Linked DNA regions of Callithrix jacchus. The protein of the gene in region 2 interacts with the protein of the main gene of each other region in a biochemical or structural test. Links are inferred from orthologs where the notes say so. Each region holds a gene or a part of one and is shown on either strand. Other genes may lie near its edges. The genes, in order: TXK, ERBB3 and SH2D1A.

Evidence for each region.
Region 1: the proteins of ERBB3 (region 2) and TXK form a complex in vitro, tested with the Homo sapiens proteins (2 studies listed by BioGRID and IntAct, with this or other methods). The link is inferred for Callithrix jacchus from reciprocal best matches to the Homo sapiens genes ERBB3 and TXK.
Region 3: the proteins of ERBB3 (region 2) and SH2D1A form a complex in vitro, tested with the Homo sapiens proteins (2 studies listed by BioGRID and IntAct, with this or other methods). The link is inferred for Callithrix jacchus from reciprocal best matches to the Homo sapiens genes ERBB3 and SH2D1A.

The regions. Positions count from the first base shown.
Region 1 is NC_133504.1:145,712,141-145,715,890, reverse strand, and holds the start of TXK (tyrosine-protein kinase TXK), read right to left. Parts: upstream 2,190-3,750; 5' UTR 2,181-2,189; coding exon 2,087-2,180; intron 1-2,086. UniProt on the Homo sapiens protein: Non-receptor tyrosine kinase that plays a redundant role with ITK in regulation of the adaptive immune response. Regulates the development, function and differentiation of conventional T-cells and nonconventional NKT-cells.
Region 2 is NC_133510.1:63,588,278-63,592,027, forward strand, and holds the start of ERBB3 (receptor tyrosine-protein kinase erbB-3), read right to left. Parts: upstream 2,851-3,750; 5' UTR 2,705-2,850; coding exon 2,623-2,704; intron 1-2,622. UniProt on the Homo sapiens protein: Tyrosine-protein kinase that plays an essential role as cell surface receptor for neuregulins.
Region 3 is NC_133524.1:120,100,372-120,104,121, reverse strand, and holds the start of SH2D1A (SH2 domain-containing protein 1A), read right to left. Parts: upstream 2,520-3,750; 5' UTR 2,432-2,519; coding exon 2,295-2,431; intron 1-2,294.

The DNA.
Region 1 (3,750 bases), on a different chromosome or scaffold from region 2:
GTCTTAGAGGTAAATGAATAAGTATTTCCAAAACTGAACATGGGACCAAATAATCTTCCAAAGCAACTCCCAAAATAAACTTCTGAAAGCACCTCTTATGTTTATTGTTTCTTAATATTTTGTTGCAAGGTGAGCAAAAAGGTAGTTGCCTAGGCGAAAGGCCAGGAGACCAGGTTCTAGTTCTGGATTTTGTCCAGCCTTTTTGGATCACAGTTTACAGCTTAATATGTGTGTGTGTGTGTGTGTGTGTGCGTGTGTATATATACATACATACATACATATATATACATGTATATATATACACGCACACACACACACACACACACACACACACATATATAAAAGTTTAGATATATATAAAAATAAGCTCTCTTCCTTTGAGAGAGCTTCCACGCCAGAGAGAATAATCCTCAAAATACCACACCAATAGGTAGTCCTTTATTTAATCTTTTGGGCAGTCAAATCCTTATATCCTTGTGTGTGTGTGTGTGTGTGTGTATGTGTGTGTGTGTGTGTGATGTATAAATATATCTATACACACACACACACACACACACACACACATATATATAAGGCAAAAGGAAGAGAGCTTAAATCCCTAGTCTGGCAAATCTCATGCTTGGCTGGGTGTGGTGGCTCATGCCTGTAATCCCAGGATTTTGGGAGGCCAAGGCAAATCATTTGAGGTCAGGAGTTTGAGATCAGCCTGGCCAACATGGTGAAACCCCATCTCTACTAAAAAACAAAAATTAGCCAGGCATGGTGCGTATAGTCCCAGCTACTCGGGAGGCTGAGGCAGGAAAACTGCTTAAACCCAGGAGGTGGAAGTTGCAGTGAGCCAAGATCGTGCCTGCACTCCGGCCTGGGTGACAGAGCAAGACGCTGTCTTAAAAAAAAAAAAGTATCATGCTTCTGAGTCTGACAACCATGTGAGTTTTGGGCAAGATTTAAAATTTCAAAGGCACAATTTTCTCACTGGCTAGATAAGAATAACAATTTTCACCTCACTAATTTGTCATGAAGATTTCAGATAATGAATATAAAGGATCATGGCATATAGTAGGTGCTCAATGAATACCTTTATAAAGAAACACACATATTACAATTATGTTATGATGGCTGCCTTCTAATTCAGAAGACTATTCTAATTCTTTCTCTTTTTTTCTAATTTCTTTGGATTTATAAACATCTCCACAGCTCTTTCAAACCAAGGGTCTTCACAAATAACAGTGTCTAGGGAATCTTTATTCTTCTAAAATAAGTACTTATTTTTAACAGTGGTCTTATATTCTATAAAAAATATTTAAAAAACATCTTCATGTGTAATATTATATATGAGGGAAAGAGACATTTAAGCCAGTGTTCACCCTTGACCATGTTCATACTCTTAACTACGTGGAGACTCATGACTTTGATTTTTATTTTGGCCTTTACTCAGGCTCTGACTGCAGATAAGAATCAGTTTTGCCTAAATTTCAATTGCTTGGGAAAGATCCTTGATGATGGATGTCTACACAGAATTGTGAATAAATGCTCCTGTGAACATAAGGTTAAGTCTATATGTTTATGTGATAAAGCAGATAATTTCAGAGTATAAGCACAGCTGTGTTTTAACTTGTTAAATATAGTTTTATTTATATAGATTAAACGTATTATTAAATATAGATATTTATTTATTTATATGTGTGTGTGTGTGTATTTACATAAAGTTGCCAACTGATCCACCATTGCTAGAGCAAACCCAGAACTAGAACTTGGCCTCCAGGCCCTCAGCCCAGAGTTCACGAAAGTCTCATTCTAAAAACAAGTACATCACACCGACTGCTTTCTACGCACATCTGTAGATTTCTGGACACTCTTTTTGTTTTGTTTTTTTCATTTATATTCTCAATGCTGAATCTTTATTAGAATTACATCACCACCACGGTTCGTAAGCTCTGTCACAACATCTGAGGAAATTATCTTTAAATGTTCCCAAGCTCTATACCTTAGCAAAATACAAAAAACAGAAAAAGTCCTCTGCTATTCAAGAATAATAGGCCCAGAACAAATCCCGAAAATAAATGACAAAGCCCATCTTACTTACAAGAGGAAAGGATCATGGCAGCCCCTTCTGCGGGGAGCACACAGAGCACACAAGTCTTCAGTTCTTCTGCGGTGCTCCACTCACAAAAACACATCTTTCAACTGAAATCATAGTTCACCAAAGATGTTTCTCACGGGCAGAGTTAACCCCTCCTATTTTCCTGTTCTGAAAACCTCAGAAGCGTATAAATGACAACCAATGGCCTATATAAGAAAGCTCAGTAATCTACATCCCAATCTCTGAGGGTGTCTGCTATTAGTCTCATCCCCAAAGGTGTGGGTGACTCGCAAACATCATTTTCAAGAAATCACAAAATTTTGGTAAAAGGCACCTTTAAAATCATCAAGTCAAATTGCCCTCTCTGGACTGGAAAGGAAATGGAGGCACAGATACACTAAGGGACTTACCCAAGGCCACACAGGGAGTGGCAGAAACAATTAAATTCTAGGCTCTGGAATATTGAGTTGAGAATGTTCCATCCTCCCACTCAGCAGACACTTTATGTAGGGGAAGTCAATCTAGTAATAACCCTAAAAGGTGACTGGGGCATGGCTGAGAAATATAAAAACAACAACAATACAAAACACACTTGGGAGTTTCACTTCATCCCATTGGAAAGCATAACCATGTGTTAACGAATGAAGGGAACGACTTTAATGAAGACACAGGGATATTCTCACCGCCCTTCCCACTTCCTGTTTAGATTAAGGTTCCTTAGCATTCTGAGTGATGACTGTTATTTTTACTTCAACTTTTGTATAAAAACAGTTTTTAAGTCTTAGTAAAAAATATTTAAAGATTGTTGAATCTTTAAATACTATGCAGCCATAAAAAAGAATGAATTCATGTCCTTTGCAGGGACATGTTTGGAGCTGGAAATGTTGCCAGGAGCTATCTATCTTGTTTTTCCATCAACAGCATACATTGACCATTAGGGCAGGGACTCCATCTTCTCCTCATTCTCTTCCATACCACCCAGTACTTCCCATAGCTCCTCAAGGTGAAAAGGGAAGTATGGGATGGGAGGAGAAGAGAAGGGAAGGTGAGGAAGAAAGGAGAAAAGGCTGACAGTGATAGTAAGGTAGAGTGTACCAGGACTGACCCCTTGAATGAGCTACAAGTCAGTTAAAAGTTGTGCACGGTTAGCAAAGACATGGAATCAATCTGAATGCCCATCAATGAGAGACTGGATGAAGAAAATGGGTATATATACTGGAATACTATGCAGCCATAAAAAAGAATGAATTCATGTCCTTTGCAGGGACATGTTTGGAGCTGGAAGCCATTATCCTCAGCAAAGTAATGCGAGAACAGAAAACCAAACACCACATGTTCTCACTTATAAGTGGGAGCTAAACCGTGAAAACGCATGGACACAGGGAGGGCTGATGAGGGGAGAGCATCAGGAAAAATAGCTAATGCATGCCAGGCTTCATACCTAGGTGATGGGTTGATAGGTGCAGCAAACCACCATAGCACACATTTACCTATGTAACAAACCTGCACATCCTGCACATGTACCCCGGAACTTAAAAAAAAAAATTGTGCATGTTTTTGTGATGGGAGTACAATGAAACAGGTAGATAAGAAGGAATGAGGCCGATTGTGATAAGACTCGGGATAAGTAGTTTACTTTCTTCCACTATGAGGTGCACAGGGAAAGA
Region 2 (3,750 bases):
CCCCTTCCTAAACTCAGGCTTTCCTTCTCACTCTCTCCCCCATCCCAACACACTCTAGCAACCTCGGCATCACTTTCCAGCCCTAGAGTATTTTTCAGCAAATAGAGAGAAGCCTGGAGAGAAACAGTAGCAGATGTCCCACACTGAGCCTCCACCCAATTTCATTGTTAGAAGAGATTCATGAAAAAGGCTTTCACCAAGGCAGTACGCTCAAGCCCCCACTAAGCGAGAGCCTAGACTAGAGGCACGTGAGCCGTGTCAGCCTTGGGAGTTCACTCTTCTTTGCAAATGTGGTGGACAATGGGCTATGGGAAATCCTGGATTCTGAAGCCCTACCCCAGTCTCTTTCTTCTGGTTCAGTGAAAGACCATGTGTGTGTGGTGGGGAGTAGGGGGCAGATACCACCTGTTCCAGCCACCCTTCCGTGAGGCGGTGGTAGCTCAGTGGGAATGGAGGGAGGGAGACTGGTGAGGCCCCAATCCCTCCTGTAACATACACCCCTAGTCTGACCTCTTGACCTCCTTATCACTCCCCATGAAGGTTGGCTAGTTCCACCAAAGAGAGCTAGTTCCAGAGGAGCGGGGAACTCCTTGGTCCTTGGGTTGAAATGAAAGAGACTGGGAAAGTTAGTCATTTCTGGACAGCCCCACCCCAACCCCCTTCCTGGCAGGACACCCCTTTCCCAAGTTATGGTGCCAACCCTTCTCCCCAGATAAGGAGGAGCCAAGCTTTCTGCACAAGGAAGTAGTAATGCGGGCACACACATACGCACACAACACACACACGAACATGTACACATTAGTCCTGCTGGCCCAGAAACCTAGAGTTAGTTGGGTTTCCTTGCAGGAAGTATTTCAGGTGGCCCTATCTATCCCACGTGCCCGTAAGTGTTTGTGCAGATTTTGTGTCTGTGCTTGGAAGGCTACAGTGTTAAGAGGTAGCCCAGTTCCCCGCTACCTTAAGGGTAAAGTCCATGTTACACAGACAGAGGGCAAAGGGCCTGGGCAATAAGGGAGCACAAACAACATCTCTGGGGAGAAGCCAGGCAAGCTGGGGAGCAGGGCAGGGGAGGGAATCATAAAAATCCCTGTGGTACCCAGGGACTGGGAGCATAGGGAGGGGCAGTGTCACAGGCCCTCCTTTGGTAGAGAGCACTGGGGGTGGGACAGAGCCAGAATCTCCAGCCCCTCCTCATGCAGAGGCCTCCCCTCCAACATCCCCCACCCCCATCACAGCCAGGACAAAGGGGCTATAGAAGGACTGGGACAGGGCCGGATGCCCAGAGGCTGCAGGACCCAGATAAAGGGTAAAGAGACCCAACCATGCCTGCCTCCTGCCTCCCCAGGGAGGGTGGCCAGAATCTAGTACTCCTGGGTTTCTGGGTGAAGATTACAGGGTCTGGATGGGACAGTTATACAGTCACTCCACTGCTCCCTCCCACGCCAGTCCCCAGACCACCCCCCTCCACCAGCTGGGAGTGTTCACATCTCAAAATCCCAGACTCTAAATTTAGGCCCAGCAACTGTGGGGGAAGCACAGGTGGTTTCTTCCACTCCCACACTGGGGAAGGGGCCCTGGCTGTGCCAAACCCCAAGCTGGGATCTGGAGGGAGGGGAGGAGAGCCACGGGACTTCAATCCTCAGGTGTCCAGGGTCCCAGAGACACCCCAAAGGAGTGGGCTCAGATAGCATGGGAGTCGGGGGAGGACTAGAGAAGAGCAATCCAGGGGTCTGTCTAGGGTCCTAGAGACAGTGTCAGACAATAAACAAAATGGGGACGGGGGCACACAAGCTGGGCCCAGGATAGACTCCCCAAGGTAGGAGGCTTAAAAAGTAGCAGAGGTGCCCTCTTGATCCTCAGGTTGGGGAGAGAAAAGACAAGAGGCTGGGCATCCTCGCCCCTACAGCTCCTGGCCCAGGGCCTGGTACATAGTAGATGCTCAGTAAATATGAGTTGCGTTGACCTAGGTCTCGACAAAGAGACGTTGCTCAAGCTCTACTATTTTGAGGAAAGCGGGCGCCAGCCTCTGCTGGGCCTCCCGCCTGATGTCACCTGAACTTGGCCCTCTGGTTAATCTCAGACCTCCCCAGGGCAGGCTCGCTCACGGAAGAGGAGGTGCCGCTCCTGTTTTTCCAACACCAGAGAATAACAACCCCCTCCAACCTTGTGTAGCTCCGCCCTGTCGGCAAAACAACGAAACTAGGGGTGGCTGAAATCGGTGCGAGGTAGGGGGTAGGAGGCTGGAGAGCAAACCGAGACCCTTCCGCCAAGGTCCCCACCTCCAAGCACCTCCTGTTTACAGAATAAAGGTCTCCGATCCGCTCCCTGCAGGGCCCCTTAGAAGTGTGAACTACTGTTTCAGCCTCAGCATCTTCTGGGGAGACCAATTAAAGGGTCGGCGACGCTCTGGGGAAGCGGGGCTTGAGGGTCCAGGAATGCCGCCCTCGGCCGGACCACGCCGATAACCCGAGCCCGACCGCCCCATTCCCAGGTGGTCCCGGCGGACCCGGGGCAGCACCCACACCCCGCGCCGCCTGGGACCCTGCTCCTGCCCCCGGAGACTGCGCGCACTGGGTTCGGGCTCCCAGGTGCGGAGCCCGCCGGTGTTCCCGCGCCGCTTACCTGCCTGAGAGTTGCCCACCTCTGAGCCCCGGGTCAGGCTGAAAAGCAAGCCCAGCACCTGCAGAGCGCCGTTCGCCCTCATGACTGCGGCGGAGGGTGAAGGGAGCCCAGCCCAGTCCGGCCCGGGGGTCCCGAGACTAGGACATCGAGGCGAGAGTCACCTGAGCCGCCAGCGAACTGGTGGCGGCTGCGGCTGCGGCGGCGGCAGCGGCGGAGTTTACGAATTGCAATCGGAGCCGGAGCCGGAGTCGGAGTCAGGGGCGGGATGGCAGGGGAGGGGTGTGTGTGTGTGTGTGTGAGAGAGAGAGAGGAGGGAGGAACGCAGAGGGAAGGGGGTGAGTCACGGCCGCGCCCCCTCCCGCGCGAGGCTGGAGTAGGGATTGCGGAGCCTCTGACCGCCCGCCCAGAGCGCGCCGCGCCACGCCCTGCGGCCCCGCAACTTGGCGGAGCAGATCGAGGATGGGGCTCGCCCTAATTTTTCTACGGGAGCTGGGCCAAGGGGAGGTCGAGATTCCAAAATGCCCCCAGATCCAGGGAAGGGTAATGAATGAGGGTGGGGAAAGCGCTCCGAAGCCCTGCCCCCTGAAAGTTGGCCTCGCCCATTAAGCAAATCACTCAACTCCCCTAGCCGGTTGGTTCACTTGGTGGATTTTCTCTCTGAATGTGAATATTTCTCTCTGTGTGTTTTTGAGGGGGAGGGTGTTTTTTGCCTCAAGTCTGGGCCACCTCAGTTTCTCCCAGACTCGAAACCCCATAACTCATCCACCCAGCCCAGGAACCCGAGCCACAGAGGCTGCGTGAAATTGCACTGTCTCCGGCCGCTTCCTCCTCCAGACCCGGCGCCGGCCCGGCCTCTCCCGGGGATTTGGATGGGGGGCGGGGGCGGTTTCCAGCCTGGGAACAGACCCCGGAGCCCGCCTTTCCACTTCTACCCCGGGAGGGGCTCCCGCACCTGTCGCCGTCCCCTCTGCTGCCCCCCACGGCCGCCTGGGAGAACAGCTGCCTCCCCTTCCACACGAGTCTGGCGGCGGCGCCGTCCGAGCGGCCGCAGTTCCCGCCGCTCTTCTGGGGACCCAGATAGGCTCACACCGTCCCAGGTGCCTTCCAAGTCCAGGCTCGCGCAGGAAA
Region 3 (3,750 bases), on a different chromosome or scaffold from region 2:
TCTCATAAGACTTTGAGGCCCCAGTGTACCATTTGAAAGACACCATAAGGGAACTCCCAATTTGCCCAGTATTTTCTGCTACTTTACAGGGAGGTTTTCATGGAGAACTAAGGGTCATAAAAACTGCATTTATGCAAGATTCACTTTGGGCAAAAAGTTAAATGCTTGAGAATTTCTCATCTGCCTAAGTTAATTCCTTATGTGGTTCTGGCCTACACAGGCAAAAGGCTAAAGTTGTCCTTCTGTCTTATATATTGTACTGAAGGCAATCTTTTGCAGAAGGTAAGATACACAATACTATTCCTGTTTTATAAATATGGAAAGTGAGACCCAGAGAATTTGAGTGACTTTCCCAGAGTCCACACCCTAACCCATCGATGTCCATTCAGTTTCTTACAGTAAAGAACAGAATTTGCCTTGACAGTGTGTTGATTCAAAAATATTTGCTGAGTGCCTATTATGTGTTTCTGTGTTCCTGGTGATGGAGACAATGTCTCTACCCTCATGGAGATTATATTTTTGCAGGAGCGTCCAGCAATAAGTAGGTAAGTAAGCAAGTTATCAGATAGTTTAAAGCTCTTTGAAGAAAAGTAGAGATGGAGCGAGTGTATCAGGGACAGGGAGAGAGCAGTTGTTCTAGGTAGTGGTCAAGCAAGTCCTCTCTGAGGGAGGAGACAGTTGAACAAACATGTGAACAATAAGTGCAGAAATCCTAAGTGGGGGCATTTTTTAGGAGCTTGAGAAATGGCCAGGAGCCCAGTGAGGCTGAAGCCTTAGGTGTATCTTGACTCTCACTATACCCTGTTGTCCCTCCTCTGCCCAGACTTGTTTTGTACTTTCTTTTTCACCTTTGGGTTAAGGAGCATGTTATCTCCTTTGTCAGCTTCCCTAAAGCAGTACCTTTCACCTGCCCACTGCACCTTCTTTCAATGAGAAAAGAGCCTAAGAATCCCAGCTGGTTTTCTTTGCCCTTCCCTAGGTTCCACATGGAAACAATAATGATATAAGCAAAACATAAAGATTCAAGCCCAAGACAATCAATAGCTTCCACGTATTTCCCTTGAAGCCTTTATGAAAAATGTATTTAGAGCATGATAGGAGAGCTGCAACAAACAAGGCTTGACCATTTTTAATAACCAATATACAGTGAAAATCCTCTAACACCAGCATCGGGATCATCTTTCTTCACTGACCCATAAGGTATTTCAAACTCTTGTAGTGTATCATCAGATGCTGAACTTACTACCAAGCATTTAACCTCATTTGGTTTCTGTCTAGAACCTACTATGCAGGGTTGTTGTTTTCATGGATTTTTTTATTCCGCTGACAATAATGCTTGAGCTAGCTAGGTACTTCCTTAGAAATGCCCCCATGATTCCTAAAAGAAATCAACTGAAAAGAGGAGATATAATAATAATAATATATCTTTAGTATTATTCAATGGATAAGAAAACTGGGGGACTGAAAGGTTAATTTGCCCAGGTCACAAGACTAACATCTGACTAGCGCAGGACTACATCTCAGATCTGCCTGACTCTGGAGCACTGGAGCAACGACACAGGTGAATTTGATTCAAAATGAAGCCTTAGACTGAGACATGCCTAGGCAAAGGGCAAAGCTGAATCATAACAAGGGTGTTTTCCCTCCATTCCCTTTAAGACTACTGTGAGTCCTAATGTTTATCAAGAAGGATCCTATTTCTGAAATCCCCTGCCCCACCCCTCACAGACACTACCTTTCTAAAGAATGCTACATCAGCAGATCCAGAGAGATGATTTTACTTTCACACATCCCCCTCCTCTCTCAGCATCTTGACCTAACTGGCATTGCATTCTTAAAGTAATTGACTGTTTCTTAATCTGCCTCCTCTCTCTGAATGTCATGCTCTTTCTTTGGGATGACACTTCAAAAGTCATTTAAAGAGAGCTAGAGTACGGAGCCACCCGATAGGAGTTAAAATGGAAGTTGGGAGCCTGGGTCTTTCTTGGAGCAAAGGTAAACTTTAGACCATATTTCACCACCCTAAAGGGCATTCTCTGCAGCTGCCCCAAAAGCCCCTGGTGAGGGCCTTCTGGAGAGCAGGAGGCCCAGGGAATGAAATCCCCAGCGAGGGACTCAGGCGAAAGTGTGTTCCCTCACGGCCCTGGACTAGACTTGAGGGTGGGTCATGAAGAAGGCCTCAGCAAGCTGCTAACGCCAGCACCCTTGCCCGCCTCAGCCTCTGCCCTGGCCTCAGCTGCCAGTGCCCACCATCCACATGCTCAGCAGGCCCCTGCCTGCCACAGAATACTCACAGCACACACAGGCAGTACACGCCTGGCACGCTCTCGCTGTCCCTCAGCAAATAGCTGCCATCCAGCCCAGTGGCGAGCAGGAGCTTCTCGCCGGTCTCCCTGCTGATTTTCCCGTGATACACAGCCACTGCATCCATGGCCTGGTGGACTCTCGGGCAGGCCGAGGAGGAGGATTGTACAAGGGAGATGCCGCTGCTACTGCAGCCAGGCACAGATCAACCACCTGACTCCCAGTTCAGCCAGATGTGCAAAAAAGAGAGAGGCACCCAAACAACAGGATGTTGTCTACTTGCCTTAAACCTCCTTCTCACACTTCAATTAAAACCAGCTCAGCAATTTAGTAGCTTGGTTTAATCGAGCTTGCCAAGGGCTTCCATCTCCTGCCCCCCAACACAGGGTTCTTACAGAGGGGAGGAAAATTAGAAGAAGGATTTTGCAAGATTTGAGCTGTACTGCCAACACACACCCTTGCACGCAGATAGGGATGCTTAGTAATGCTTCTGTTCTTGCAGATTACTCAGAGGCCACAAGGAATAACTTAGCTCAACCAGCCGGTAAGGAGTTGATGATAGAGGCAAGTTATACATGTCTCTGTCGGTATGTGGACCCATCATGTAGGGCAGAAACATACTGACAGAATGAAAGGACCAAAAGCTCTGAGAACAAAACACTAATAGTTTTATTAGTACTGTCATTATGCAATCATTACTGAACACGGCCATGAAGACTCCTACAGAATCAGACATAGCAGATGAACAGTGAACTTTGGGCAAGTTCTTTTTCTCCTTCTTCCTTCTACCTCATGCAGTCATCTTGAGAAGTCTTGGTCCTGACCAATATTGATTTCTTTCCTAACACCTTGTCCAAGGTCCCAAAGTGCTAGTTGAGATACAAAAGTCACAATGCACATCCAAAGATGTTCCAGATTTAAGTATTTGATGGGCTTTAGATGAGACAATGTAACATTTAACTGGTGATTTGTCTTAATGCAAATTTGTATGTGCCCTTTGGTGTATAAGGCCCACCTTTCAGCATTTTGTCCAAAAAATCTGTTTTAAATCATTTGCAAGCGTTGATAATTTTGTTGTAACTTTTATTGTCTGTTGTTTCTAAACAATGTTATTTCTTCGATTGATGCTAAACTGTCTTTAATATTTTAAAACCTTTCAACCTCCATTTTCTTCTCTGAAATAAAGCATTGCTTCTATTTCAAAATGTGCTAGGTAATATTTCCCCAAAACTTCTTGCATTTTCACTAGAGTAAGAATTTATTGCTGAAGCTGAATGGTCTTATACATGTACCTTTAGATTATGCAAAGTACTTGTAAAATTGGAATTAAAATAACTGAAGCTATGTGATCTATTATATGCTTTCTGCAACTTCAGCGTGTAGTTCTTTGAGAATATGGCAATGCTGGGAGCTCAATAGGGAGAGCAATACTTAATTCCTCACATG